Diceros bicornis minor: one gene and its partners. The protein of the gene in region 2 interacts with the protein of the main gene of each other region in a pairwise test. Links are inferred from orthologs where the notes say so. Each region holds a gene or a part of one and is shown on either strand. Other genes may lie near its edges. The genes, in order: AQP5, CREB3, NKG7 and UNC50.

Evidence for each region.
Region 1: the proteins of CREB3 (region 2) and AQP5 interact in a two-hybrid assay, tested with the Homo sapiens proteins (2 studies listed by BioGRID and IntAct). The two-hybrid records come from large-scale screens. The link is inferred for Diceros bicornis minor from reciprocal best matches to the Homo sapiens genes CREB3 and AQP5.
Region 3: the proteins of CREB3 (region 2) and NKG7 interact in a two-hybrid assay, tested with the Homo sapiens proteins (2 studies listed by BioGRID and IntAct). The two-hybrid records come from large-scale screens. The link is inferred for Diceros bicornis minor from reciprocal best matches to the Homo sapiens genes CREB3 and NKG7.
Region 4: the proteins of CREB3 (region 2) and UNC50 interact in a two-hybrid assay, tested with the Homo sapiens proteins (2 studies listed by BioGRID and IntAct). The two-hybrid records come from large-scale screens. The link is inferred for Diceros bicornis minor from reciprocal best matches to the Homo sapiens genes CREB3 and UNC50.

The regions. Positions count from the first base shown.
Region 1 is NC_080756.1:19,837,758-19,845,183, forward strand, and holds the start of AQP5 (aquaporin-5), read right to left. Parts: upstream 3,420-7,426; 5' UTR 2,019-3,419; coding exon 1,656-2,018; intron 595-1,655; coding exon 430-594; intron 22-429; coding exon 1-21. UniProt on the Homo sapiens protein: Aquaporins form homotetrameric transmembrane channels, with each monomer independently mediating water transport across the plasma membrane along its osmotic gradient. Plays an important role in fluid secretion in salivary glands.
Region 2 is NC_080767.1:4,150,676-4,157,965, forward strand, and holds the start of CREB3 (cyclic AMP-responsive element-binding protein 3), read left to right. Parts: upstream 1-4,008; 5' UTR 4,009-4,200; coding exon 4,201-4,338; intron 4,339-4,442; coding exon 4,443-4,590; intron 4,591-4,666; coding exon 4,667-4,734; intron 4,735-4,848; coding exon 4,849-4,938; intron 4,939-6,028; coding exon 6,029-6,135; intron 6,136-6,267; coding exon 6,268-6,336; intron 6,337-6,961; coding exon 6,962-7,046; intron 7,047-7,143; coding exon 7,144-7,228; intron 7,229-7,290. UniProt on the Homo sapiens protein: Endoplasmic reticulum (ER)-bound sequence-specific transcription factor that directly binds DNA and activates transcription. Plays a role in the unfolded protein response (UPR), promoting cell survival versus ER stress-induced apoptotic cell death.
Region 3 is NC_080773.1:26,976,876-26,983,351, forward strand, and holds NKG7 (protein NKG7), read left to right. Parts: upstream 1-4,648; 5' UTR 4,649-4,743; coding exon 4,744-4,900; intron 4,901-4,985; coding exon 4,986-5,132; intron 5,133-5,218; coding exon 5,219-5,353; intron 5,354-5,442; coding exon 5,443-5,501; 3' UTR 5,502-5,653; downstream 5,654-6,476.
Region 4 is NC_080779.1:14,717,750-14,725,364, forward strand, and holds the start of UNC50 (protein unc-50 homolog), read right to left. Parts: upstream 3,203-7,615; 5' UTR 3,113-3,202; intron 2,007-3,112; 5' UTR 2,003-2,006; coding exon 1,723-2,002; intron 955-1,722; coding exon 834-954; intron 1-833. Other genes in the region: cytochrome c oxidase assembly factor 5, read left to right, coding at 3,375-3,473. UniProt on the Homo sapiens protein: Involved in the cell surface expression of neuronal nicotinic receptors. Binds RNA.

The DNA of each region.
Region 1 (7,426 bases), on a different chromosome or scaffold from region 2:
GGAGCAGCCGGTGAAGTAGATCTGGACATAGGGAGGGAGGCGGTGAAGAGGGCAATGTGCTTGTCCACTCCCACGGGGTCCCCGACTCTCCCAGGGTCACCCAGCAGTTTAGGGGCTCAGCCATGGCTCCAACTCAAGTCTCCGGATTCCTAAGCTGGTGACCTCTCCCTCAACAGGTCCTGACGCCCCTCCTCTCTTCTCTGTCCTCAGCTTGGGCTTGCTTTCCTGCCCTCACCCCAGCTCCCTCCCGCGTACTCCCATCTTTCCTCAGGCTAGAGAAGGTTTTGGGGGATCAAGTCTGGCCAGAGTACAGTAGCCCCACTCCAGGCCTTAACTTCACTCAGTGGTCGGGAGGGGTGCTGCTCCAGGGCCCCATTATTTGCCCCGAGGGGCTCCCCCCAACCCCAGCCGCGTGGCAGCACTGCTCACCCCCACGAGGTGGCCCAGTGTGACGGACAGGCCGATGGACAGGGCTGGGGAGCCCACAGGGCTGGTGCGGCGGGAGTCGGTGGAGGAGAAGATGCAGAGCGCCAGCTGGAAGGTCAGGATCAGCTCCACCACCATGGCCTGGCCTGGCGTCGTGTTGTTGTTGAGCTGCAAGGGCAGGATGGGTTGGACCTCTGCCTTCTCCTGGCTGTATGGCCAGGGGCTTGGGGGGATGGGGCTTTGGGCCTCTAAGGACACCTGGAAGCCCAGCCCTGAGTACATCACATCAGGGAGGTCACTTGCTGAAATGACTATCTACTTCACAGTGTGCACAAAGCTTGGAGCTCAGGCCTGTGGCCAAAGGGCAGAGTATGAGGGGAGCTTTTCCTGGACACAGTCCTGTCAACGGTTCTGCCCAGTCCCCAACCCCCACAAGCTGGCACTTACCCTCCCTCCTGTGGGCAGCTGCCCAGTTTGCCTACTGCACCCTCCAGCCTGCCTCCCGCCCGTGCCTGACTTGCTGCCAGTACCAACCTCAAACCCGTCTCTCCGGTGGGGCTGACTCACGGCTTGACAATGGCCGAGAAAATCCTCCTCTGTGTTTGATTAATGAACCCAGTTTGCATGGGCCATGGGGGCTGAATCTGGGGCTTGGGGAGGAGACAGCAAGGGGCCAGGAGCAGGAACCAATATTCAGCAGAGACCCTATGCACTGGCTCTGCTTTAGGCGATCCCACACATGGTTTCTAAATGGAATCCCCTTGACACCTGTTGTGGTAGCTTATGATCATCCCCACGTAATGGCTGAGAAAAATAAGACCCAGAGAGGCCAGAGTCACCCGAAGCCAGGATTACAACCCATTTCTCTCCAATGGTTACATGAAACCACTCCACTGAGGAGGAGATAGGGACTGTGAGGGGCCCAAGAAGAAGGCAGAACTCAGAGATGAGCCACGAGAAAAGGAAGAAGTTTCGGGCAAGAAAGGAGGGGCAGTAGGCACCAAGAGAGGCCAGGACGGTGCAGCAGGAGCGGAGAGGGCAGAGGAGTGGGTATGAACCAGGGAGTCTGGGCAGGGGCACAGCCAGCCTGGAGATTCATCTTCCTCAGCTTAGAAGGCTGCCACCTCCTGGCCCACTCTGTGGCACCCATTCTTGAGATGGGCTGTGGGTGCCTGGTCCGGAGCCCGCCCCAGGGTCCCAGTCCCACCCTCAGCCCCATGGGCACTCACCGCGTTGACTGCCAGATTGCCCCGGGCATTGAGCGGTGCCAGCCCATAGAGGATGCCCGCCCCAGTAATGGCGCCCATCAGTTGGGCCACCACGTAGAAGACAGTCCGGAGCAGGGAGATCTGATTGCCCACAAAGAGGGCCAGTGTGATGGCGGGGTTCATGTGGCCTCCGCTCACAGGCCCCAGGGCCTGGACCAGGGTGCCTATGGCCAGGCCAAAGGCCAGCGCGATCTGCAGGATGGAGGGCAGCGCCGACGGCCACTTGAGGGCCGAGCCGAGGCCTAAGAAGACGAAGATGAGAGTGGCCAGGAACTCGGCGAACACGGCCCTGAAGAAAGCCACGGAGCACACCTCCTTCTTCATGGTGGCCTCGGAGGCGGGGCAGCTCCGGCCGCGGCAGGGGGCGCCCGTCGGGGAGGCGGCAGCGGCGCAGGGGGCGGCGGGCTGGCTCTCAGCTGCTGGGCAGCACACCCGGGCGCGCACTGCGTGGCTAGCGGCCTGGGTCAGGCCCTGCAGGGGCGCGTTATATACCCGGCGGGCGCCCAGCGCGGGGGGGGCAGTGGGCGGCTCCCGCGTCCGGGGGCCCGCGCAGCACGCAGAGTGGAAACGTCGCCGCAGCCTCGGGCTCGCCGCAGTCTCCGGCCCCGCGTGCCCCTGGCCCAACGCCCGCCTCCCCGACGGGGCAGCAGCGGACCCGCCTGGACCACGCCACCCAGGCGGCGGTGTAGACGGGCCCGGCAGCCGGGGACCCGCGCATGGTGCACTCCAGGCGGCTCGTGCGCTCTCCTCCGCGCTGTGTCCCCCAGGCTCCCTGGGAGACTTGGCTGGGTCGGGGCTGTCGGGTACTACCAACTTCTGGGCGTCTGCCTCCGCTGGGCCTTTATCTCCGGCCGTGGTCTTCCCCTTTTCTTCTCTTCGGTCTCCGGGTCCAGCTCCTCCTTTTCCTCCTGTGACCTGGCCATCCTGACCCAGCCTCACTCCCGGTTGAGCTGGAGTGGTGCGATTCCCTGAGGACAGCGCCACTCAGCTCCAAGCCGGCCGGTGGCGGGGGCGGGCGGCCGGGCTGGGCCTCTACCCCGCCCCGGCCAGGCAGGCCTCCGGGGTTGGAGTGGGGGCGTTTTGGGAAAAGTGGCTCCGTGCCAGCCTGCCTCGCGCTTGTCGATCCTCGACGCCCAGTAGCCAGGCAATCCTGGGAAGAGGAGGCAGACCCCGGGAGGCGCCCCTCCTCGGCAGCTGTCGCAGCCCCTCCAGGAGCACAGCCCTCTAGGGAATCCCAGCCAGTCCCCGAGGGAGGTGGGGGCTAGGAGTTCCCTTTGTCCATAGTACGGGAGGGGGCATGCCCGGGTTCCGTTTTGTTTGGGGTCAGGGAACAGGCCCTGGGACTGTGGCGGAGGGGCGGAGGGGCGGAGGGGGGTCCGGGAGGGTGCAGGCACACCACTGCCCTTCCACGCCGGGTCTCGGCCTCGCCGCCTCCCTGCCAGAAGCCCCCCCACGCTGGCTATCCGTTTTCCTTGTCCTGCTCCTCCTCTTCCTCCTGCTCCTCCTCCTTTCAATCTCCTGAGTCTCCTCTTCTTTCAGACCCACTCTCAGTCTTGAATTCTCTCCCTCTTGCAATCTCTCTGCCTCTCCTCTGTCCTTCTCCTTGTCTCTTCCTCCAAACCCGGGCACTGTTTTTCACTTTTTATCTCTCTCTTCAGTCTCCCTGTCCTTCTCCCTCTGGCAGTCTTTTCCTGAATCTCTCTCTTTCTCATTTCAGGCTCAGTCTGTCTCTTAGGCTCTCCCTCTCTTCCTCCCGCCCCACCCTCCCTTTTCAATTTCCCTGTTTTTTTCCTTCCTTCCTTTCACAGTCTCAGCCTTAGTCTCCCTATCTCCGTCTCTCTATTCACCTCTCAGTTTCCATCTCCTCTTTCTCCGTTCCTCTGCCTCAATTTCTGTGACTTTGTTTCTCCCTATCTCTACCTCATTTTCCATGTCTGCCTCTCTTACATGTGGGCTTTTTCAGTTCCCCCAAAGTCAAGTCCTCCCACCCCAGGGCTGGGTGACACTTTCTCCCAGTTCCCAATCCCCCGCCTGCTGTCTTTGCCCCTTCCCTCTGAGCTCCCCGCTGTTCTCCACCAGCCCTCCCACCCCACCCTCTTCCCATCCCCAGGTTAGGCATGTGGGGAATGAGGCTGGAGGGCCCTCCAGGGCTTGGAGGAGGGGCAGGGACCCACCCCCAGGATCCCAGGAGAGGAGTTACACTGAAGACCCCACCACCACTCCCGTGATGTGTCCTTGGGAGGCACTTAGCACAGTGCCTTGCACAGAGTAAGGCTCAGTAAAGTTTCCTCATGTTGTGACTATCATTTAAAAAGCCCCCTGAGGGCTCTGTGTGGAGCTACGCCCCCGGAGGGTGCAGCAGAGGGAGAGAACAGGTGCTCCTCTATCAGTCTGTCAGGCCATGGCTAAAGGGAGGGGCCCAGAGGAAAGCCAAGGATCTGGAGGAGCGGGCTCTGTACTCCGTGGCAGGTAAGAAGCCAAAGAAAACAGGGACCAAAGAAACTCCACTGTTGTTCCTGCTCTGCTCCCAGTTTCCTGCTGGAGCAGCTCCTCCCCCAAGTCTCTCCTCTTTAGGCAGGAGGTCTGTCTGTCTTTTCTGCCGTGGGTCCTGGGGCCCTGCCCCTGGCAGAGCATGGCAGCTGTATACAGGATTTTCATCTGGGCTCAGGGCTCAGGGCGGGCCTGGCCCAGACTGGAACAATGACCCTCAGGACCCCAGAGGCCTTTGGGGGCCAGGCCCTTTCACAGTGGAACTTGCCTCCAATCTGCACCCTTTCACCTTCCATCTCATCCTCTCTCTCCAGGCACTGTCTTCATGAATCATAGGTCGCAAACTCCATCATCTTGGAGAGGGCAGGACTTGGCAGTGCTAACAGGAGGCTGGGCCACCAAGGGAAGCTCCTACCTGAGGACTTGAGGCCAATTTTTTACAGCTAACCAAGGGCTTTGGCCTCTGCTGTGTGACTTAATTCTGAGCTACTTGTGAGGCATCCAGACTCAGAAGTGACTGCTTTGCCCAGGGTCACACAGTGACCTGAGATGGGACTCTCGGGGTTGTCAGGAATGGGCCTGGTGTGGCTGAAGAAGGAGACCCCATCTGTCAAGGCTGCTCAGAGGGGGCCGCTGGTTACGTTTCCTAGGCCTGTGCTTGAGCCCCTTCCATCTCTCTCTAACCATCAGGGGCACTCAGTCCCTAGGGTGTCACAAGAAACTCCTGGAGCTACGGTGTCCTGGAATTGTCTTTGCCCTGCCCTGCCAGCCCCAGAGAAATGCTTCACTGGGAACTCTCTGGGCTGGGAGCTGGGTGTCCCCATTTGTGGCAGTGGCATTAGAATCTCTCCGGGAGAGCCCCTTCCCTCTTCTCCTGACATAGGGACCCCTGGATTCCCTGGGAGCAGTTGGGGGCTGGGGGCAGAAATGGTAGGTTAATTGGCAGCAGGTGATGCCCCCGGGGCTCCACATATTCCCAGTGTTGGGGAAGAGTCATTCGTTCCTTCCACAAAGATTTATTAAGCACTTACTATGTACCAAGCACTGTTATAGGCACTGGGGATACAGCCATGAGCTAGCAGAGAATGTCACTGCCTTGTGACGCTAATATGCTAGTGAAAGGAGACAAACAATAAACACTGGACATACATAAATCATATAGTACGATAGAATCTGTAAGTGCTATGGAAAAATAGAAGATGTTAAAGGGGACTGGGTGTGCTGGGGTAGGAATGGAGTTTCTTTGAAATTTTAAATGGGTTGTCTGTGTAGGTCTTATTGAGAAGGTGACATCTGAGCAAGGACTTGAAGGAGGAGAGGGAAAGAACCATGCACATATCTGGGGGAAGAACATTCCAGGCAGAGGGATCAGCCAGTGTTGCTGCAGCAGAGGGAGCAAGGGGGAGAGTAGGAGATAGGACAGAGGTGACAGAAGTGGGCAGAGCTTGTGTGCCACCGAAAGGCCTGCAGGCTTCACTGGAGAGAGTAGAGGCCTAGCGTGGTCTGACAGAGTCTTTAACATGACCCCTCTGCTGCTGTGTTGAGAAGAGCCTGGAGGGGCAGGAGTGGAAGGAGGGAGACAGGTAGGCGCCTGTCCAGAGAGAGATAGTGGTGGCCTGGATCTGAGGGGTGGTGTTGCAGGTGACAGTGCTGGGATTCTGGATCCCCTGTGAAGGCAGACCTGACAGGATCCGCTGATGGAGCTCTCCTGGCGGGTGAGAACGAGGAGTCGAGGATGACTCGAGCTCTTTGGCCTGAGCAGTTGGAAAGATGGAGTTGCTATGGGTTGAGATGGGAGGACTGTGGGAGGAGCAGGTGTGGGGAGAAGAGCAGGGGGTCAGTTTTGGACATATGGAGTGTTAGGTGTCATCCCAGACTCTGGAGGTCCCTGCCCTGACTTCCCAACACGGTGCTACAGCCAGCATGAGGGGACCAAAAGGGACTGTTCTTTGCTCTCTCTGGAGGCCACACAGCCTGCCCATGTCTTGGTGCCCTCTCTCTCCAAGGTGACACCTGGGTCACAAAGGATGCCCATTTTGGCCAGGCTGGCAGTGGGAATTTGCCACCACATGCCACCTTGGTTGAGCTTCTTATTCAGCATTGAAATCCCCTCTACACCATTCCTAACAGCAGCTCTGGGGAGCTCATGACATGCCAGAGACCCCAGTCTGTCTCTTGGCACCTTGGACCGTATTGACCATTTCTAAGCTGTGGAAGAAACGGCACTTATTGGCAAATGAGCATTTATTGAGTGCCTACTATATGCAGAGCACTGTGCTAGACAAGACAAATGATGGAGGATAGCTAGGAGAATGCCATCCAAGAACTGGAAGGAGCCCTGCCCCAAAGGGCTTACAGCCTAGCTGGGAGGCATTGAATATAAACAGAATCACTGCTTAGAGATACAGAACAACATCAAAGCAACATCTGCAGGTACAAAGTCATCTGGTACCGAGTTGGAATTTGGGAATGGATGCTGCTGGGACCCAGTGGTCAGCCACTTCCTCCCTTCAGCTCAGAGGCTTCTTTGTCCCCGGCTTGGGGAGCTAGAGGCCTATGCACCTGCCTCCATGCGGCCCTGCCTCTGTCTGATTTGGGGTGTGTCTGACCTCCACTCTCCTCCAGACTGGGTGCTCTCCAAAGGCAGAGACCAGCCCCATGTTTTGTCATTTTTCTCCCTGCCGTGCTGCGGCCCTGCCCCAGGCCCTGTTTCCAATAAGACAGTGGGTTGGGCTGGCCCAGCTGTGTGCTGTGGCTCCTGCCAGGGGCTCCCAAGAGGGGCCTAGGACTTGCCTCAGCGTAGACCTGGTCTCCTCTGACTTCTCAGTGGAAAGATCATGGGATTTTGAATAAGAAGGCCTGAGTTCAAGTGTTGGTTCCACTGTATACTGCTGTGTGACTTTAGATCAGTCTCTTAGCCTCAGTTTCTTAATCTGTGAAATGGAAAGAACAGCATTTGCTCTGCCTATCTCACAGGGTTGGCAGATAATCACAGTACAGTATAGGGCTGGGCTCACAGTGGGTCCTGACTGATACTTTGGTAAGAGCAGTTCTGCTCTGAGCCCAGGGTGGTCTTGGCCTGGAATTATCCAGAATGACCCCTTAATTGCCCGATAGGATGGTCAGAATCACCTATGCTGTCAAACCTCTTGTCTCAAGTTACCTGCCACGTTTCTTAAAGAGTAATGCGTCGCTTAAGGATGCGTCGTTCGGCAATTTTGTCCTTGTGCGAACATCATACA
Region 2 (7,290 bases):
CCTACTAAGCTACTTACACTGTCTCTATATATGTTATCTCAAACATGCAGCCCCTACACAGATCCCATCACAACCACGTTATCTTCCTGTAAAGACGCCATCCCATGCCCACACCTTCCCCATAAATACACCTCTATCAGCAAGCACACAACTCGCCCCAACATCTCTCCTCCTATTATGTGGACATTCTCCCTCCATTCATCCAGCAAGCATTTCTGAGGGTCTGTTGTGGGGAAGGCCCCCAGCCAAACTCTGAGTGGCTGGGAACCAAGAAAAGTAAGCCCTAGCCTTTGTCCTCAAGGGGCTCCCAGTCAGCTGAGTGGATAAACTAAATACAGTTGTAAAAGAGGGCAGGATGTGGTAAGAGCCAAGAGGTGTGTGCTCAGGGGAGAGATCCCTTTAGATGAAAAGGGGACCAAAAAGTCTCCATGAAAAGTGTCATTTGAAGTTAGGATTTTAAAAAGTAAAGATAATAAGAAATACTAACAATCTTTTATTGACTATATGTCAATTGCTTTGTATACATAATTTCATTTAATCCTTACAACAACCCTGCAAGGTAGGTGTCATTATCTCCATTTTTACAGATAAGGAAACTGAGGCTCAAAGAAGTTAAACACTTGTTCAAGGTGCTTGTCCAAAGTCACACAGCTAATGAGGTGTGAAGACAGGATCCGAACCCAGGTCTCTCTGACTCCAAAGCCCAAGCTCTCTCCACTAGGCCAGCTGGAGCTGAGTCAGGGGTAGCATTCCAGGCAGAGAGAATAGCATAAGCAAAGGTGGAGAAGCAGGAAATCAATCGTGGAGGAGCATTCAGGGAAGTGAGAGGCAGGCTGGTTGAAGCGCAGCATACCTGCAAGGGAGCAGTGATGGGGAAGTTAAGATGAGGATGGAAAGGCTGGTGAGAACTAGGGAGAGTATGAGGAATGATACCTACTAGGGGGCAACAGGAGGCCAAGGGAGGCTTTCAGCAGAGACGGGACATAACCAGAACCAGATTTTAGGAAAATAACTCTGGCAGTTACCTTGGAGATTAGTTAGAAGGATACTGCATTAGCAGAAGTGAGGGGTAATGAAGCCAGAGTTAGAAGGGTGGAGAGGATGTCACTCATCAGAAATTTTAAGAGGTAGAACTGATAGGAACTGATGACAGTCTGTCCTGTCAACCCTCAGGGACCAGGGCCCAAAGTCAGGCTGGGGTCCCATAGCTTCTTGTCATCAGCAGTCACTCAGTGGCTGGGCAGCTTGAGTTTAGGTCAGGAATTGGGAAGGGGGGAAAGAAAGTATAAGGACAAGCTGGGAATGTGAAGATGAGGCTGTGGTTAGGAGATGTGGTTAGGCTGAGGGAAAAAGGGATGGGGATGTGGTTAGTACCAGGTAGAGGGGCAGAAGGGATGAGGTCAGTGACTGCATTGGGCTGGAAATGGGGAAGATGAGGTGTAGAGAAAGGCTGGGGAAGATGGTAGGAAAAATACATATATGATCAGTCACTAGATCAGGCTGGGGGAAACGGAAGAATAATTATGTGGACAGTGGCTAAGTCAGGGAATGATGCAGTGAGGTCAGAAGCCAGGTCAGGCTACGAGACTGAGAAGAGAGGGAGCTGTGGTCAGTGGCTAAATTAGGATGGGATGGGCAAAGAGTGAAGGGACACCAGCAGTGTCTAAGTAAAGCTGGAGTTGGGGGTGGTGCATGGGGTGCAGCCAGTGGCTGGGTCAGGCTCGGTAGGGGATAGTGCTGTGGTCAGTGGCAGGGTCAGGCTGGGAGTGAAATGGGGGTGTGGTCAGTGGCCTGGCTGGGCGTGGGATCAGCAAGACCCAGTTTCCTCTTTGGGTCTCATTTCCTCTTTTCTGTCAGGGGAGTGGGGGAAGGGGATCTACAAGTGGACCAAGAAATTAAGGCTTAGAATCAGGGATGGAACACAGCAGGCATCGGAAGTACTTGGCAGTTGTGTTGGGCTGGGGCTGGAGTATTCAGCAGATGATCAGGAGGTATTCAGGTAGATGAGCGGGTGAAAATGGTGGGAGAGTGCTTTAAGATGATGGGAAAGCTCAGAGTTGGGCGACAGTAAATTAAGGTAGGATGTGTGCGGATTAAGGGGTGGGAAGAGAGGCAAAACTGAGGCTGGGAACACATGGCAAAATGAAGAACATGAGAGAGTTAAAGACAAGGGAAGCATTCTGTAAGGGGGTATGCAAGAAGGGTGTGAAATGCAGGGCCAGGGAGGAGAGCTGGAGTGGAGAGCTTAACATTGAGAGAATGAGGAGAATGGGAAGCAATGGGGCTGAACTTTCAGAGGATCAGTCATCCCCCGCTCCTGTGGCAACAGTGTTTTCTTGGTCTGCTTCCCCCTTAGTCACCAGTCCCCTTTCCTCTAGGCAGTCCCCTACTCAGGACTAGGCCTTACACATCTCCTGGGTCCCTGTCCCTTTCCCACCTCCTATCTTGTAAACAACATAGTCCACGAACCTCTGCCCCTCAACTGTTGTGGCCACAGCAAGAGCCTTGGGCTTAGAGAGTAGAATAAAGCAGCTGGAGTCCCAGATGCCTGCAATTCTAGCTGAAACCCAGAACCCTAGCCTGAAAATAGTCTGTCATTTCTCTGGGCCAAAGAAGCCCCTGCGACTACACAGAAATGAGAGACCTCCTCGCAAAACAGGGCCTCTACCTACCACTAATCTTAAATTTCACGTGTCCGAGATCCACTATCCTGACCTCAACCACAACCCCTAAAACTGCCCCTAATTCCTAACACTAACCCCAACCCTAATGTGTTTCCTGTTTCCCAGTACTGGCTTTGACATTCACCCCTTTCCTAGCAGACACCTGTATCCAATCCCTGATTTCTAATATTTACCTTTAAATGGTGCTAAAAAGCACCAAAGCCCCTGACCTTAACCCTAAATGTTGACCCCTAGGTCTAAAGCTCATTTGCCACTTGATTCCTGACCCACCTCTTCACTTTTTATCCCTAATACTGACTATGCCAACGTTCTCTTATCCCTAAAACTAGACTTCCAACCTAATTCCTGTTATTGACCTCTAACCTGACCCTGAACCGTAACTTTGACTTATCTTGGCCACCCTAAAAAACAAAATAATGACCGTAATCCAAACTTCACCTACATAAAACGGACCTGACTCACACTAATAACACTAAATTTTAACCCCGGCTTCATACCTCCTAAAACTAACCTTGAGTCCTAAACCGAACTCCACCTAATCCCAAACTCACCCAAAGCTTTCCTATCCACATACCCGCTGATCCTCAAAGCCGATCCCCGCCCTGCGCCTCACTACCACCCCACTCCTCGCCCTCCCCAAAACCTATCCCAGGCCGAGGACTGCTCCCAGGAGGGGGCTGGCTCCCGCAAAACGGCCTACTTAACTCCGAGCCCAAACCGAGATACACTGGCCGCTGACCTCTCCAACAGGACCCGCAGGAGGAGACGCAGGAGGGTCGGGGCCCCGCCCGCCCGCCTCCCGGCCCCATCCTGAGGTTCCGGCTGGGCCCAGTCCGGCCTACCTGCGCTGCCCGGCTCTGTGCCCCGCCCGCCGGCCCGCTACCGGGCTCGCTCGTCCTCCCGGTGGCTCTCGGGCTCCGGCCTCGCCCTCCCTTCGACACTCCGGCGGCCACTTCCGTCCCCGGAGCGTCCCCCACCCGCGGGCGGCGCCCTGTGCCCGCGCTCTATGGTTTCGGGGACTGAAGGAAGCTGCTCTGGCCCCAGCTCTCGATGCTCGGGAACCCTCCGAAGACCCGCAGGCCCTCCCTGGCAGGAAGCAAGGCTGCGGCGCGATCCGGAGAAGACGCCCCAGTTCCCTTTTAGGCTCGAATCCTTCCTTTTTCTAGCTTGGGGCGAAGGCGGAGCCGCATCCCAGAATGCCCGCCCTCAGGCTGTGAGGAAGCAGCAGAATGCCCGCCCCCTCGATTTGCATGGCTCCCGGGACGTGGCGCCACTTCCGCACTAGGGGAACTCCGTGTCCCAGAATGCCTTGGGGGCATGGGCGTCACTTCCGTTGTGTTGGAAGCCGGGGAGACTTGAGTTCAGGAGGCGTGTCCCCTTTGAGAGCGTCGGCTAGCAGCTCCGGGGCAAGCCCGGTTGAAGACGGACTGACGTTAGGGGAGTGTCTTGCATGGGGTTCGGGGTTGGGGCCAGGTGGAGGGGCGAACCCCTGTGTTTCTACGCATCCTTTCCGTAGATGTCCCATATGGAGCTGCCGTCGGACCCGGGTGACCAAGACCTGCTGGACTTCCTGCTAGAGGAAAGCGGAGATTTGGGGGCGGCGATCCACGAGGCCGTGGAGGCTCCGCTAGACTGGGAGCTGCCGCTTTCTGAGGTGGGTACGGGCTCCGAGTCGGGGAGGCGCGGGGCGGGGAGGGGGGCGTCCTTGAGGCAGGGGGTGGTGATAGGTCAAGGCCTGTTAATTTGAACCCTGTGCAGGTACTGAGGGATTGGGAGGCCGAGGATTTCCTGAGCTCTCTGCTGAGTCCCCCAGCGTCGTTGAACGTTCTCAACTCTTCTAACTCCTGTCCTGTCCACCATGATCACACCTACTCTGTACCACAGGAACATATTTCCATAGATCTAGGTGAGTCTGAAGTAAGAGAAGTTTTGGGAGAGGAGAGGACTGATGGGCTTGGCTATTCATATTTTCTCTTTTGCAGATAGCGGGAGCTATGGAAAAGAGGGGGCCCAGATGACTCCATTGCATGTAGAGGAGCCAGCAGAGCAGGTACTTGATTTGATTTACGGAGGAATATTCCCACATTGCATGGGTGGAGGTAGGATTCCCCATTCCTCTCTGATATTGCCTTGCAACTTTGCTGCCACCTCCCTGGAACCCCAGGAGATTGCTAGGCTGATACTGACAGATGAGGAGAAGAGGCTGTTGGAGAAGGAGGGGCTTACTCTGCCTGGGACACTTCCTCTCACTAAGGTAAGACTCCCATTGGTGGAGCAAGGCAGCAAAGGAAGTTGAGCCCCAAGTAGGCCAATTCTGTTAATTTTATATCAGTAACTTGAAAAAGGACTGAGGTGAGAAATTTAGCAAATTCCCTGCTAATAGGAAGCTGGTGCATGTAGTTAATATGCTGGATGCAAGAGCTGCTCCTGGTTTTGTGGGGCTTATAAAAATTTTGGTGTTTTCTTTAAGAAAAAAGAATTCCACATTATCAGTGCAACATTAGTATAGGGCATTGGAAAGGACTGTGCAAGTGAGGGGCCCTGACACATTTCACTGGCTTCGTGGTAATCCACCTCTTGTTGAATGGTAGAATTAAGTTTTAGAGAGTTTATCAAGGCTGGACCAAGCAATATAACAGGAATAAATGTAAAATTCTGAGCTTTAAGTTTCAAGCAACAAATGGCAACTTCACAAGCACAATATTGTGACACTGTGATGAAATCGACATTCACTGACAGAAAGGTTAAGAGAATTTTAATTTCTTAAAAGTACAAGATGAGTCAGCAATGTGATATGGCTACTAAGAAAGTGAATGGGGTTTGGAGGCTGTAATCAATAGAGGTGTTGCCTCTAGAAGGGCAGTGACTATCTCTCTTCTTTATACTGGCCAGAGCACATCTGAGTGTTTAGTTTTGAACCCAGATCTTTGACAGATATTAAACGGATGCAGTCCATACTGATAAGATGACGAGTTAAAAATTTTGCCCAGATTTTTTTTGACTCTGAAGAAATGTCAAGCGCCTTAAAATAGCTCAAGATCATTTGTTCTATATGGCCCCAGAGATTAGGTACTAGGTAAGTCCAAAGGCTAGAAATTAGAGAGGCAGATGTTGGCTCAGGATAAGGAAGGTTTTTTTTTTTTTTAATTAAAATTATTAAAAGGGTCCGGCCTATGAGGGCATTAACACCTGGTCCTTGGAGGCATTCAGACAGAAGCCAAGTGCCTGTTTGTCAGAGAAGCTGTAGAAGGGATTCCTGCACTGGGAAGAAGATTGAACTCAGTTGCATTCCAACTCTTTGGTCCAGTGTTCCTCTGATGATAACTTTTCCTGCCTTCTCTCAGATGGAAGAACAAGTTCTGAAACGAGTACGGAGGAAGATTCGAAACAAAAAGTCTGCTCAGGAGAGCCGCAGGAAGAAGAAGGTGTATGTGGGGGGTTTAGAGAACAGGTATAAACGGGAGAGGGACTCGGTGGTGGGGTATTGGAATTGGAGTTCCAATACCTTCCAAAAGTATTGCAAGTGTTAGGTTTTTGAAGGGAGGATACAGGCCACATCCCCACATCCCTGTTATTCCCCTAGGGTCTTGAAATACACAGCCCAGAATCTGGAGCTACAGAACAGAGTACAGCTCCTGGAGGAACAGAATCTGTAAGCAGCTCTGCAACATCAGTCCCTTCTCATCCCTCCTATTTGGCGCTGTCTCACTTTTTCCTTTGCTCCACACTTGATTTCTAACTGGGCAGCTCCCACATGCAAGGTCTGGTGGTTGGCCCTTACTGGGTCTCTAATTCCAAGCAGCTCACAGTAATGGCGAGTAAATTCACAAGTAACTAATGATAAGTACCAAGAAAGAGAGAGGAGAAAGAGTAAGAAAGACCTCATGGGGCAGATGGTATTTAATAGCAGATAGGATTCTTGTGGGGGTGTTGAGAGTATTCTAGGTAGAGACCACAGCATAGTCCAGTCTGACTGGAACTCTTTAACATGAGTGGAGTCAGAAGGAAGAGAACATAGAATGCCTGGTGAGAATTATGTGCATAGCTGATGGGGCAGTGTAGGAAGTACTGAAGGTATGTGCAAAAGAGTTTTAAGTCACGCCAGAGCAGAGGGATATTTTAATGAGGAACTTCAGGCATTTTGTCCACAGAGAGAAGTCATTTGCAAAAAGTAAGAGAGGATCCAGTGCACAGACGGAGGGAGTGGCCTTAACAGGAGGGTTTCACTGTATCTCAGGGTGCCAGGCCAGGGGCTGCTCACTGCCCTCTTCCCCTAGGTCTCTTCTGGATCAGCTGAGGAGACTCCAGGCCATGATGATTCAGATATCAAACAAAACCAGCAGCAGCAGCACCTGTGTTCTGGTGAGGATGCTGATGGAAGGAGAGATCCTCTTCTCAGGCAGCAGGGACAGGGATGCAATCAAGAGCCCTTCATCACCTCCTGTTTCCTGTACTCCAGGTCCTACTGTTCTCCTTCTGTCTCCTCCTCGTACCTGCTATGTACTCTTCTGACACAAGGGGGAGCCTGCCAGCTGAGCGTGGAGGTGAGAGGCTTGAGGATACCATTAAGGGCGGGCTAGGGGAGAAGCCTGGCTTGCCTCTAAAG
Region 3 (6,476 bases), on a different chromosome or scaffold from region 2:
CTCCTTACTCCACATTTCCACTTGAAAAGAAGAGGCATCTCACATCTCATGTGTCTAACACTGAATTCCTGATCTCTCACACTCCACATCTGCTCCTCCCACGGTGTGCCCCATCTTGGTAAATGACAACTCCATTTTTTCCAACTGCTCAAGCCAAAAACATTGGGAGCATCCTCAGCTGCCTTCTTACATCCCACATCTGATTCATCAGCAAATAGTGTTGGCTCTTCTTTTAAACTGTCTGGAATTTGATGCCTTGCTCATCCAGTTACCACCCTGGTCCAAACCACCATCATCTCTCACCTGGCTTATTGCCACAGCCTAACCAGCTCTGCCTCTGCCCTTCCCTACCCCCTGCCCCGTGCAGTCCATTCTCTACACAGCGTCGAGAGGGAGTTTTGTTAAAACATGACTCAAATCAAGTCACTCCTCTGCTCTAAGCCCTCCAGTGGCTCCCATCTCAGATGAAAAGTTGAAGTCTATCAAGGTCATATGAAGCGTCATGCGTTCTGGACTCTGTTAACTCTCTGACCTCATCTTCCCTCACTCACTGCAATTCAGGGCTCCTCAACACCTGCTTCAGGTTCAATGATTTGCTAGAAGGACTCAGAGCTCAAGAAAGCTATTACACTCATGGTACAGTTTATTACAGCAAAAGGATACAGATTAAAATCAGCAAAAGGATGGGGCTCACAGGGCAGCGTCCAGGAGAGATCAGAAATGAGTTTCCAGTTGTCTCTCCCAGTGGAGTGTCCAGACAGCACTTACTTCTCTCAGCGACAACGTGTGACAATATGCACACGACATTGCCCACCAGGGAAGCTCACCTGAGCCTTGGTGTCCAGTCTTATTGTCCAGTGTCCAGGTCAGGGTTGCAGGCATGGAGAAATCATATGGCTGGTCTCCAGCCTCTCCAGGGGTCATATTGATACCGTGTGTTTCAAAGCCCCCACCATAAACCACGTTGACATGATCGACTATCTGGCGCGGCCCAAGGACCCCAGGTAAACAGACACTCTTACCAGGCAGGCATTCCAAGGACTTAGAGGTTCCTTCCCAAAAGCTGGGCTAGGCCAACCCTTTCTTTGGTCAATGTTACTGCTCTGCTCCTCAGTCACTCTGCTCCAGCCTTGTTGGCCTCCGTGCTTGTCCAGGCATGAGCCCACCTCTGCCTATACCACTCTTCGCAAATGTCTTTCAGGTCTTTGCTTCAAAGTTACCTTTTCAGTGAGGTGTCTCTGGCGACCCCATCTAAAATCACAACCCTCCCCCTCTTCTCTGCTTTTACCTCCCCACAGCACTTTTCACAAACATACTATATATTTTTCTTACATCTATCTTATTATCTGTATCCCCAACTGGAATGGTGGTGCCCCTGAGGGAGAAATTTGTGTCTGCTTTTGGTCATCTCTACATCCTCAGTGCTTATAAGGCGGCACCCAGCACATGGTAATCGCTCAAAATAATATTTGTTGAAAACTAAATATTTATTCAGGTCAATTGATAATGATATTTATCAACTTAGATTATTTGTTGGGGCCTACTCTGATATTTATTGAGATTTAATATATTTTTATCATCAAAATAGACCACATTAAATATTGGTAAGAGTGAGCCTCAATGGAAATTATGGCACTTTCCATAATAACTGTTAATAAACAGCCATCATGGGGCCAGCCCGGTGGCATAACAGTTAAGCGTGGGCGCTCTGCTTCGGCGGCCCAGGGTTTGCAGGTTCGGATCCCGGGCGCACACCAACGCACCGCTTGTCAAGACATGCTGTGACCGCATCCCATATAAAGTAGAGAAAGATGGGCACGGATGTTAGCCCAGGGCCAATCTTCCTCAGCAAAAAGAGGAGGATTGGCATCAGATGTTAGCTTAGGGCTGATCTTCCTCAAAAAAATAAAAAAAATAAATAAACAGCCATCATTTCTTTGCTATAATAGAATGTAGGCTCAATGAGGGCAAGGGTCCCGAGTATGTTGTGCATCACTGTGCCCCCAGGGCCTAACCTAGTGCCTGAACTACAAGAGGGGCTGGTTGAATTGAATATCTCCAGAGGCCTCCTATTTGCCAGATTCTATGCTGGGTGCTGGGGGCCCCCAAATTAATCCAACCTTGTTCCTGCCTTCAAGTTCCTGAGGTCTGAGAATGTATGGGAAGTGGCAGAAGGAGAGACATTTGGGATCAAGCCAAGTACAGGAAGGCCTGGGAGATAATAATTGGGTTGGGGGTATGGGTACAGTGCTCTAGACTGAGGGTGGGGCCTTGGGACTGGGGGGACCTCAGCTCTGAAGACAAAAACAATAGAATAGAGACCAGGTCCCCAGGTGGTCAAGGCAGGTCTCAGGGCTGGGCAGAGCCACAGAACTTCCATGGGGTGATGATGTTGGAGGTGTTCTGTGGCAGTTGGGGGTTGCTGAGGAACCCCTGAGCCTGGCAGAAGTTGGTAGGAATTGGAGAACGTTGGAAGAGACCCCGGTGATTTGGAAAAACTTGCAGTGCTTGGACAAGACTGGTAGAGACTGAAAGGAACCAACAACTGGGACAGCATGGTGGAACTGGGGACATGAGGGCTCTGGAGAGCTTCAAATCTTGTCAAGGAAAGAGATGGAGGTTCTGCGAGACAACTCCCTCTTCAATGTCGTGTTCAGCTGCTTCTCCTTGGGGTTCTTCCTGGCGGCCTTTGTCTGCCCCTACTGACTTGAGGTGTGTGCAGCAGGGCCCACCAAGGACCTGGGTCTACGGTCAGCCTGTGATGCCTATGTGTGCAGAAGTCTGCGGGAGCCTGGTGCAGGTCATGTATGTGCATGCATGTGTGTGCGTGATGATGGTGGTAGTGGGACTTGGGGAGACGAGAAAGAGGGATATAGGCTTGGACCTGGAGGTGGGATGAAGATGAAAATAGGGGGGTGAGGTAGGAATTACAGGGGTTGGGGAGAAGTATGAAGAAGGAAGTGAGGTGGGACTAGGGTTGGAATTGGGACAGGAAATGTGATCTGGTGTGGGGATGGGAATGAGGATAGGGTTAAGTCTAGGGATGAGGATGGGTTTGGGTTTGGGGTTGAGTTTGTGAATAAGAATGGGGCTAGGTTGCAGGATGCAGATAGGGTTAAATTAGAGGTTGGAGCTGGGGTTAAGGAATGGGTTGTGTTTGGGGTTGGGGATGGGATTGAGTTTAGAGTTGGGTTGGGGAATGAGAATAGGGTTAGGTTTGGGAATTGGGATGGGTTGATTTTGGGGTTGGAGCTGGACTTATGGATAGGGTTGAGTTTGGGGTTGCAGCTGGGGTTAAGGATGGCGTTTGGTTTGGGCATGAGAATGGGGTTAGGTTGGAGAATAGGGATGGGGTTAAGGATGGGATCGAAGCTGGGGTTATGGGTAGAGTTGAGTTTGGAACGGCTTCAAGATCACAGATGGGTTCTGTGCTCTGACTGTCCCCTTACCACACCCCCATCACCCACACTTCCTGAAGCCTGTCCAGATGCTCCTCACTGGAGCCATGTCCACAGTCATTTTTGTGCTGGCTTCTCGCTGCTCATGATCTGGATCCACCTCTGGCAGCCTGTCCTCAGGAGCATGTTCTCAGCGTGGCCAGTTACCCCACTGGTGAGGGTCTGGGTGACAGACGGGGGCCTGCAAATTGGAGTCTGCAATAAAGGAAGAAGACCCGGCCTCTTGGTCACTCTGGTTTTCCCTTTCGCCAGCTGTCCAGGGACTGCCGACTCAGTTGGATTTCACGACAGAGGACCTCTTCCAGGCCAGTCCCTACTTCACAGGGGTTAAGTTTTCCTGGGCTGTGGCCCCTTCACCTTGTATCTGCTCACAGGTGGTGCGTCGCCCAGAACCTGATGGTGGGGGAGGCGGCTCGTGCTTGGAGGGCTGGGGGGTCCTGCACTGACAGTCTTGTGTCACCCGCCCCGCAGGCTCTGATCCTGATGATGAAGCCCACCACACTGGAGGCCCTACTCAAAGCAGAGCTGTCTGTGAACTCACTTATCAGATGAGGATGTGGGCATGTCTTCCTCGCCACAAACTTAGAATTGTGATTCTCCACCATTTGCCTGCCCTGGGCATAACTCCAAGCAGGGATCCAGGAGTATGAGCCCCCCATCCACCTGTCCCTTCTTCTCCCAGGCCTCCAGATCTTTCCTTCTCCAGCCCCCTTCTTTTTGTGAAGACCCTCGAGTTGGGGCCCCCCCCTCCTAGAACGGAAGATAGCAAAACCCACAGGAAAGTATGACACATCCCCCAACTGTCCCCTCTGGTCACATCTCCCCTCCTATTTAACTCACACTCTGGTCTCATTCGTCACCTCCCACCTCTGTGCCCCCAAGCTTCTCTCTCACCTCTCCCAGGAAGCCCTCTCTGGTGTTGAGGGCTCTAAGGTGGGACGCATAGAATCTGAGGCAGAGAGGCAAGTTCTGAATCACCACCTAAACCACGGATGATGTGACACCCTCAGTGCTCCCCACTACACACTAACGACCTTGGGGAGGGAAGGACGTTGTCAGTGCAACCCACGAAGGGAGGGTGAGACACGTCAGCTACCAGGAACTGGGTGAAACCAAACCAGCCTAGTCTTCAGGAGCACACGTCCCCAATGCTTGCCAGCTTCTCTTTCTTGAGCTCAGAAGATCCAGGAGTCCCGGGACACAGCCTCCTCCTCTCTCAGAGATCCAGGAGTCTGGTTCACTAGCCTCTTCATCGTCCAGGACCTGGAAACCCAGAGCTGACCCCATGGAACCCTGTCGGTCCCTGGCCCTGCTCGTTGGCTCCCTGGGCCTGACATCTGTCCTGGTTGCTCTGAGCACGGATTACTGGTTCGTGGCCATGGGGCCCAAGGCTTCAGCTCACTCGGGGCTCTGGCCAAAGGCGGATCAGGACGCAGTAGCAGGTAACAGGGAGAGATCGCTCTTGCGGGGCGGGGTGGGGGGAATGACCAGATGGGATGGGCATTCAGAGGTCTCTTCTTTGAGCAGGCTACATCCACGTGACGCAGGCCTTCAGCATTCTGGCTGCCCTGGGGGGCTTGGTGTCTGTGAGCTTCCTGGTCCTGTCCTACATCCCCTCACTGTCTGCCCCGGGCCGCGGGCCCCTTGTCTCCTCTGTCACAGCCTTTGCTGCAGGTAAGGGCTCCGGGCTGCCCTTGGGCACTGGGGACTGGTGAGTTCCTGCAGAGGAGCTGAGCAGTCTCTCATGTCTCTGTCCTCAGGCCTCTTCGCAACGGTGGCCCTGGTGGTCTACACCAGCGAGCGGTGGAGCCAGCCTCCACATCCCCAGATCCAGACCTTCTTCTCCTGGTCCTTCTACCTGGGCTGGGCTTCAGCTCTCCTCTGGTTCTGCGCAGGTGACTGCTCGGGAGGTGCTCGGGAGGGCCAGCTAGGGGCTCTGAGGGAGCAGGGTGGGACAGGCGCTAACCTCTCTCTACCACCCCAGGTGGCCTGAGCCTGGGTGCTCACTGCCGTGCCCCCCTGCCCAGCTATGAAGCCATGTGAGCCGAGGGCGAGAACAGCAGGATGAGTTTGGAGCACTGTTCTCTGAAGGTGGAGCTGGCAGATTACGTGACGCTCCCTCCAGCCCTCACCTCCAGCCCTTCCCCAGCCCCCTTCATTTGTTTCTTCATCCATTCAACAAAAATTGGCTGAGATCTGGTTATTCCGAGCTTAATTCCGTTGCGACATAAGCTAACCACACGCCAGCTCCATGGTGGGCGACACTGGGCACCCAGGGAGGAGTCAGAGCCGCCCGCCTGCCCTCAGGGTGCTCCTGCCATTGTGGGGACCAGTGTGGACTCAGGCACTGCCCTGGGTCCCTCTCCCTGTCTCCATCTCTCTTCTTCGCCCTTCCTTCTCTTTTCTTCCCTGTCTTTCTTGCTTTAGCTCTCTTCCCTTCTTGCTCCCTCTCTAATGTTGTGACCCTTGCCATCGCTCTAGTCTGCCCTGCTCATTTCATTCAGTCATTCGCTTCTGTGGCTGGCTTTTCCTGAGCACATCCTTTCCACTGGGCCTCGTTGGAATGCTGACGTGAATCAGACCTGGGCCCTGCCCACGAGGGGCTGCAAGTCTGGTGCGCACAGGTGGTTAATTCAGGCCAGATGGCAGCGCGGGAGAAAGACTGACCCGGTCGTAGAGGGTGGAGGTCAGCTTTCTGGGGAGAGGCTGTTTAGGGACTTCTCAAGGGCCAAGGAAAGGTAATCCAGGCAGAGGGACCCAAAGGTGGAGGCGTGAAAAGGCTGGAAGTTTTTAGGTGATGGAAAACGGTGCTTTGTGGCCAGAATGTAGAATGTGGGGGTGGAGGAAAATGAGGATAGAGAGGCAGGAGGGAGCCAGGGCCTCTAACGCCACAATTTACTCTCTCCTAAGGGTGATGAGGAGCTAGCAGAAGGTGGTGAGCAGGAGAGAGTCAGCATCAGCTCCTGGTGCCAGAAAGACCCCTGTGGGGCATGCCAGGAAGCCAGAAGCGAGAGAGGA
Region 4 (7,615 bases), on a different chromosome or scaffold from region 2:
ATATTAATAGCTACCATTTTTTGGTATGCCAGGCGCTTTTCATACCACAGTCTTCTCAAGTACCTTACAAAATAAGATAATTAACTCCATTTTACAAAAGAGGAGACTGGGGCTAAGGGTTCCACAGTACTGGCGCCTAAACCCAGGTCTCTCTGTGACTAAAACGTTCCATGGTGTTTTCTCTGATATACAAGGACCACCACCCCTACTCAGCCACTGGCTCTCTACTGAGCTCACTCCCCACATCCATTCCCTTCACCCAGCATGCCAGCCACACAGGAGCACTCTATCTGTGAGAAACTGAAAAACCTAACACGAGATTTATACTTAGGACACTACTGTTGTTAAAGCAAACCCAGACAAGTCAGACTGAGAACTCTTCCAATAAAACCTCTGCGTGCATGTCTCTCAGCAGGAAGGCACCAAAAGTTTTGTAACAACAACAACAACAAAAACCCCTTTTCAAGTGTACTTCATTTAAAGCCAAAGATTCCATGAAATAACCCTCTGGATCGTATACGACTACAAGTGACCCACTGACAAATGCCACAGAAAATTGTGCCATCACCCAGACAACTGAAGCAGAATTGGCTAACTGCATAATATTTTTGCAAAATCGGGGATTTTATCAGTATGATATAATCATTATTTCAATTTACTTATTTGCTGCACTTTGACAATACAGACCATCCTTATCTTCTGATAATCTTGGCAGTCAAAATTGATGTTTTCATTCGTCTATCTCGTTTTACTTTCCATCAGCTACTATACCTCTGAAGCAAGCAAATGGAGGCTCTAAGCAGCATCTGAAAAACCAAAGTTATGGTACTTACCACATTAAAGTTGATATGAGAAGACCAACGCCTATACAATCTATGAATACAACCCAAAGGAGAAGCTTTATCGTCTCAAAGAATCCCATGTCCAGCACAAAGCCAAATCCTATAGTGGATACTGGAAAAGATTTACAAGACGCATTCAGGCACTTTGCTGGGTTCTAGGGATATGGGGCCCAGTCCCTGCCCTCCAGATGCCCACAGTCTAGTATGTAAACAGAACCCCAAACATGTGTTCTATGTAACTGATTAAGAAATGCAGACCACCTTGGAACACAAAATGGCCACTGCGATATCTGAAGTTTCCTGAGGAGGCCCCTGTCAGTCTGTGGTTCACCAGGGTAGCCCCAGCATTTAGAACACCACTAGTACTGAAAAAGCGTTCACATATTTAAGTCCAGGTGAAGGTGAAAAAAATCTTACAAACTTCAACACACTAAAGCTGGTTAGGACCCTTTCACTACACTACTGGAGAACTCAAGTAGTTTCTCAAGTTCACATCAGTACTTTTACAACTCTCACTCTGGACCTGCCTGATTGTGAAATGCAATTTCCAATCTCAATATTCCTTTTCACAGTAAGTTTGCATTTGGGTCTTGATTTATTTATCACAGTACTTAAAAGACAGAGTGATTCTGTCCTCTGCTTTTCAAAGCTCCCAGGTAACAGTTTACTCTGGCGTCTGCTTGGGACCTTAGAACCAGAAAGAATACAATCCTGTTTCCTCTGAGGAGATTTCTGAGGCCTCAGAAAGGAAGCAACTGCTTCAAATATCCCCAAATTCTGACCCATAATACATTTATAACAAAAGATTCTCCAAATGACAAGTCCAACGTGAAACACTCAATTTCTCCTTCAACTCTATTGCAGGTAAACTAACACTTACCACAGAGCCAGATACTTAACAGGACCAAGAAAGCAGGGTCATCTCTGGCCCACTGATCCTTTGTCTGCTTTCGATAATGAAAGTTTCTATAAACCCTCTGTGGGGACGTAAACAGGTAGAGCATCTGCCAGGCAGCAAACTCAAAGTCCATCTGCCGAAAGCGAAAAAGCCTTCTCAGGTATTTGTAGCGCTTTGCTCCAGCCGTGTGTCTTGCTGCATCCCTGGAATTCAGGGCTCCGTTCCCCTGCACTGGGGAATTCATTGACATACTTGGTAACATCTTCCTAGATACAAGAAAAAAATCCTTTTACAAGTCATCTCAAGAAACAGCTGGCTCCCATCACCCCTCTTTTGAATTATCCAGGAGGAAGATCACTTTACATTTCTGCCCCAATCCACGAGAAGAGACAGGGGTCAAAAGCGAATGGAGTTGTTTCTAAGGCTTGTTTTGGGGGCTCGAGAACTGCCAGCTGCACTTCAGGCAAGGATGGTACCACAGCCTTCTAAATCACCGTAACAACACTTATTCACACTTCACCTCCCTCAATCCTCAGAGAGCCCCCCCAGGTAGCTACGGTGAGGAAGGGAGGGAGGAAACAGACTCCCTGAGAGGTGAAGTAACCCCCTCTTGAGCACACAGATAGTGATGGGGCCAAAATTCAAATTCAGGCACTCTTGCTCAAAATTCCGCGCTCTCAACCATCAAGCCTTTAAGGGAAAGCCTTTCTTGAAGCCAATTAGAAACAATGTTACCGACGAGATAAAATAAGTGGCCTAATCCCATAGGTCCATCGGCGCGTGACCAGCAAGCAACTCTTTCACTAAAACGTGATACAAAACAAAGCAAAACTCCAATCCATAGCGTTTTACTCCCTGAATGGTTCAGCAGGGGGAATGACAGCGTGGGAGTCCCCTGGAACCAGTCGGAAGCCAGATGAACGCAGGTCACCGCCCGGCCCCCCCGCCCCGGCAGCCCAGCCCAGCCCAGCCTCCGGCTCCGCACCCCAGGCCTCCGGGACGCCAGCAGCGCCTCGCCGGGCCCAGAGGACCCCCGCCAGCCCGGGGCCGCGGGCAGGGTTAACAGATTTAGCAAGTAAAAACAAAGGACGCCCGGTTACATTTGAACCTCAGACACAAGAATATTTTTAGTATGAGCGTGTCCGAAACATCGCCTGGGCCACACTCATACTGAAACACCACTCGTTGTTTATCTGAAATTCAACTGGAACTGGGCGTCCTGGATTTCATCCGGCAACCCTCCGGCGGGCCGAGCAGCGGGACCCGGACACGGTCCCTCCACGGCCCAGGGAGGTCGGGCCGCGAGTCGCCGGAGGAAACGGCACCAGGCGAGCCCGAGCCGCGCGCGGACCGAGCGGCCCTCAGGCCTCACCTGGACCCCGCTGCGGCCTCCGCCGGGCGCCAAACTACCCCCCACCTCCGCCCAGCAGCCGAGCCCAGCAGCCGCCGGGCCAACTTCCCTTCCCGCAACGTAGCCAGCGCCGGGGACGTGACGCGTCACGTGCGCCCACTTCCGCCGGAAGTTGTTGCTGCCGGTTTCCGGTTCCTTCTGCCGCGGGAGTCGCTTGCTCCCGGCGGGTGGCGGCTGGTGCGGCCTGAGGGGGCTCGGGGCGCTGCGGGCGGGAGGCGCAGTCATGCCCCGGTATTACGAGGACAAGCCGGAGGGCGGCGCGTGCGCGGGCGTGCGGGAGGACCTGGGCGCCTGTCTGCTGCAGTCGGACTGTGTGCTCAAGGTAGCGCGGCCGGGCGCTCGGGCGTGCCGACGCCTGAAACCGGGCGGCGGGGCCCCGGGAAGGGCTCGCGGTCGGCCTGCGGGGGCCGTCAGGAGGCGTGACTCGGAGTTAGCTGTCCGGGGTGTAGACCACAGCTCCAGTTTAAGGAACTTGGGCATATGCGCTGTCGGAGCCTCAGATCCCTCCGGTGTTAAATTGGAGATAACGATACCGCCCCGTTGGGTTTTTTGTAAGGATTAAACCACTTGCGTTCAAGCAACGTTTATTGAGGGCCGCCACTCTGGGTTCTGGAGATGTAAAGAAGAATAAGACAGGTTTCTTGCGCTCTAGAAAAGGAGAATTACATAAACCTGGTACACTCCTGGCTCGTGATTTCTCCTCTCCCTGTTCAGTTGTGGCTGAATATGTACTATGTTTTCCCGGTGCTGGTTTGAATTGGTGTCTGAGTTGCAGTTGTCTACATTCTTGGGTCAGTTGTAAATGAGGCAGCTCATGTTGTCACCGTTTTGTATCTTGTGTCCCGTGCACTCGTCCGTCACCACAGCCACACGTCTTCTCAGGAGCCAGTCTGGACGGAGTGCGGCGCGCAGTGAGGGTCAGAGTTGCCTGGGGACCTGGGTTCCAGCCTAGAGCCCAGCTGAAGCGCAAGTGCGTTTTCCGATCACAAAGGCCTGATGAGAAGGGCAGTCGATTGTGTGCAATTATTTTTGCATTCGGAGATGTAATTTCAGAAAGTTGGTCTTATTTCCAAGAAAAGACAACTACCACAAAATGGACATCCACCATAAGGCTAGATGAGTGTTTCTACTGATTCACGATTTACGTTTGGTTCACTGATGTTAGCAGTCAGCCAGACTGGCTTCCCAGTGTCTAGTAAAACTTCAGAGTTGTTATGAATTTAAGTGGTTATCCAGTCTAGCTCTTTTTATACGGATGACGACACTGAGGTGCCCTGCCTTTAGGCTCCCCTGTCCAGGGCTGTTTCCAATCTGCTGCTTCATATTCAGCCAGCTCCTAGTAAATGCCTGTTAAGTGGTAGGTGTGATGCCAGGCAATGGTGATACAGGGATGAATCAGTTACAGTCGCTGCCTGTGTAAGCTTGGTCTGATGGGAAGAATAGACATGTAAACAGGGGCTAAATCCCTTGATAAGGGCTGTGTAAGCATTTAGTAAATATCTGTTTAATGAGTAGATTTAGGAGCAAAATGCCTTGGGAGCCCAGTGGAGAGCAACTTATTTTGCTTGAGAATTTGGAAACTTCTTACAGAGGAGGTGACATTTGATTTGAGTCTTAAAGGTTGAGGAGGAGTTGATAAAGTAGAATTGTGGGGGCTGTGGTGATTGTGGGAGAATCTGAAAGAACAGCATGTGCAGAGTTGGGGAGATGTAGGAGGGCCTGGAGGATGGAGAATGTGACAGAAGGCTTGAAAGGAAGGTTGCCATGTGTGAAGGCCCTTGTGTGTCAGAGTGAGGAACCTGGATTTTATCCAGACATTCAGCATCAGGAAGGCCATGGAGGTGAACAATCAAAGGAATAAAGTACAAAGAGTAGGACTGAGGAAAGAAACTCAGGAAGTAGAGGAGGATAATGGTGGCAAGGAGAATACCAAGTTGGTTTTTGCAGTCATTGATTCGTTTCTTTAGCAAACATTTGAGTGCTAAGCTCTAATTCAGAGGACATACAGATGAATGGGACATGTTCACTCCTGTGTAGAAATTGGATCACTGGAAAGCTGTAGGCAGAGATAATGACCAGGACACATGGCACAGACTTCGTTTTTGCCTCGTTGAGTATGTGGCCTTATTGATGCTGAATTAGGTCACTAGCAGAACCTGATGTTTATGAACAGTCCCTTAAACGGAAGTGCATTTACAGGTTGTGTTAAATTCATCCTGAATTGTGACTGTAGCTGGAGTGTAAAAGGGCAGTACTGAGGCCAAACAATGAGTTTTGCAGATCCAGGACAATATCCTGTCTTCTCGGATGGTGTCACTGGCAGCTACAGCCCACCACTCCCCATAGGGACTCTGAAGACCAAGGGAAGTTCTGCTGAGGTCTCTGCCTGCTCTGCATGGCCACCTCATTTATGATAAGATTTTTGATTCCTTAGCTCTTTGAATAAAGAAGTTAATCTGATCTTTTGGCAGATGGATGCTGTAGTCTCTCCTTGCTCATCTTTAACTCACCTGAAAAGCTGCTGGACCTCTAGGGAGGAATTGAACATAAACAAATATTTAGTTCAAGGTCCTGGGATGGGAGACAGTCAAGGAACTGGAGAGGCTCAGAGAAACTCAGGGTAATGGTGATAAGGAGGTAACCTCTAGTGGGGCTAGAGAGGAGAAGCAAGGAAAAAGATTCAAAAGGCATCTCTTAGACAGACTTAGGATTTTATAACTCCTGAGGGATAAAAACGGTTGAAACTATGCCCAAGGAACCTCAATCACAAGTTATCTCCTTTGTGCCTCTATTAACAGCTTCCAGACTTGCTGATTCCTCATCAGAATCACCTGGAGATGGGGGCCGAGAGCTTACAAGTACAGACTCGACTGCTCCCCCGCCTCCACCACAAATAATTTAGAAGTATCCCAGGTTGATTCTTGGGCACAGCCATGTTTGGGAATCACCAATCTTGACCTCAGAAGGCAAATAAGCTTGTGAGTGTATTAGTTAGGATCTAAGTTCAGGTACACGTTACAGAGACCCAGAATAACAATGACTTAAACAAGATAGAGAATTCCCTTTTGCTCTTGGGCCTATAAGTAGAGCCTGGAGAGCTCCTCTCCGTCTTCCGTGGACCCATACACCATTGATCTTGTGGTTTTAGATGCTGTGATGGAAGATAGGATGTTACTTTCACACTCATGGTCTAATATCGCCTTGCTTCCACATCATCAGGCTAGTAACATGATGGAGTAAAGTGGGGAAGGTGGCCAAGCCACTTTCCTTTCAGGACCAACCCAGAAGTTTTACCTTTCGGTTCCCCCACATAATCCATTGGCTAGATCTTAGTCACATGACCACACCCAGCTGCAAGGGTGGCTGGGAAATCTAGCCCAGCCAGACGCCCCACTTTTTAAAAAGGAAGAGTAGATATTAAGGGACAACTAGCAGTCTGCCATTTGGAGTGGAGGTGGAGGAAGATGAATTAAGATTTCTCTTTTAGGTTTAGTGTATCTAGGTGGATCTTCCCACCAGGCAGTTGGCAGTACGGGTTGAAAGCTTGTGAAAAAGATGGCATCTTAGCTACAGTTTGAGGAAGCATCGGTTTATAAATTATAGTCTTTTGTATAGTTACAGTCTTTTATCTTCCTCCCATTGTTCATGTGGGCAACACACATCCCATCAGCAGCCCCTCATGACGGAGTTTGGAGGAGGAACATAATAGTGCAAGGAAGCTTTCTGCTCTGTTCTGATTCACTTTTGAGATTCACTGATGCAGATGACAGTTGAAATCTAGGACCCAAGCAGACATAAGGACTAGGAAGTGGCCAGGATTCCTGGGGATGAGGAATGCCACAGATGTGGTATCCTGCAGCTTTTTCCACAGTAAAAACTAGGAGTGTGACTGGCACTTGCAAAATAAAGGTTTTGGGGAGTAGTTGCAGTGGTGGGATTGTTGTGTCAAAATCTGCTGGAGAGGAAATCCCTGATGACGAAGAGCAGGTGAAATTTGGGTTACATCTTTCCTGGTGCATGAACGCACCAGGTGTTTCTATGTAGGTAGTACTCTAGTCGACCTCACTAACGTCTGTCTAAAGTGTTTAGTACCAAGACTAAAAGTGTTCTGATTTTAGGGCACCTGATTCTGGCTGTTTGAACTTTTAAGGTTAACACTGAATAGGGTCATTCTGATTCTCAGACAAAGTTGCTTGACTCATTTTACGTTGGAGCTCACCTTCAGTAGGAAGACTTCACGATCTTTATATTGTCAAGCACTGTGTAAGGCTAATGTTTATAAGCAGTGTGTTTTACTTTTATTATTTCTTTAATAGTAATGTAAGGTTTTGACTTCTTTTTCCTTGTGAATTGCAAATCATAGTTTGATGTCATTAAACCTCAGGTGATTCAGAAAATTCAAGTTCCATCTACTTTTTCCAGATGTTATTTTATATATTTACATTCCCGGAAACCAAGCCCCCT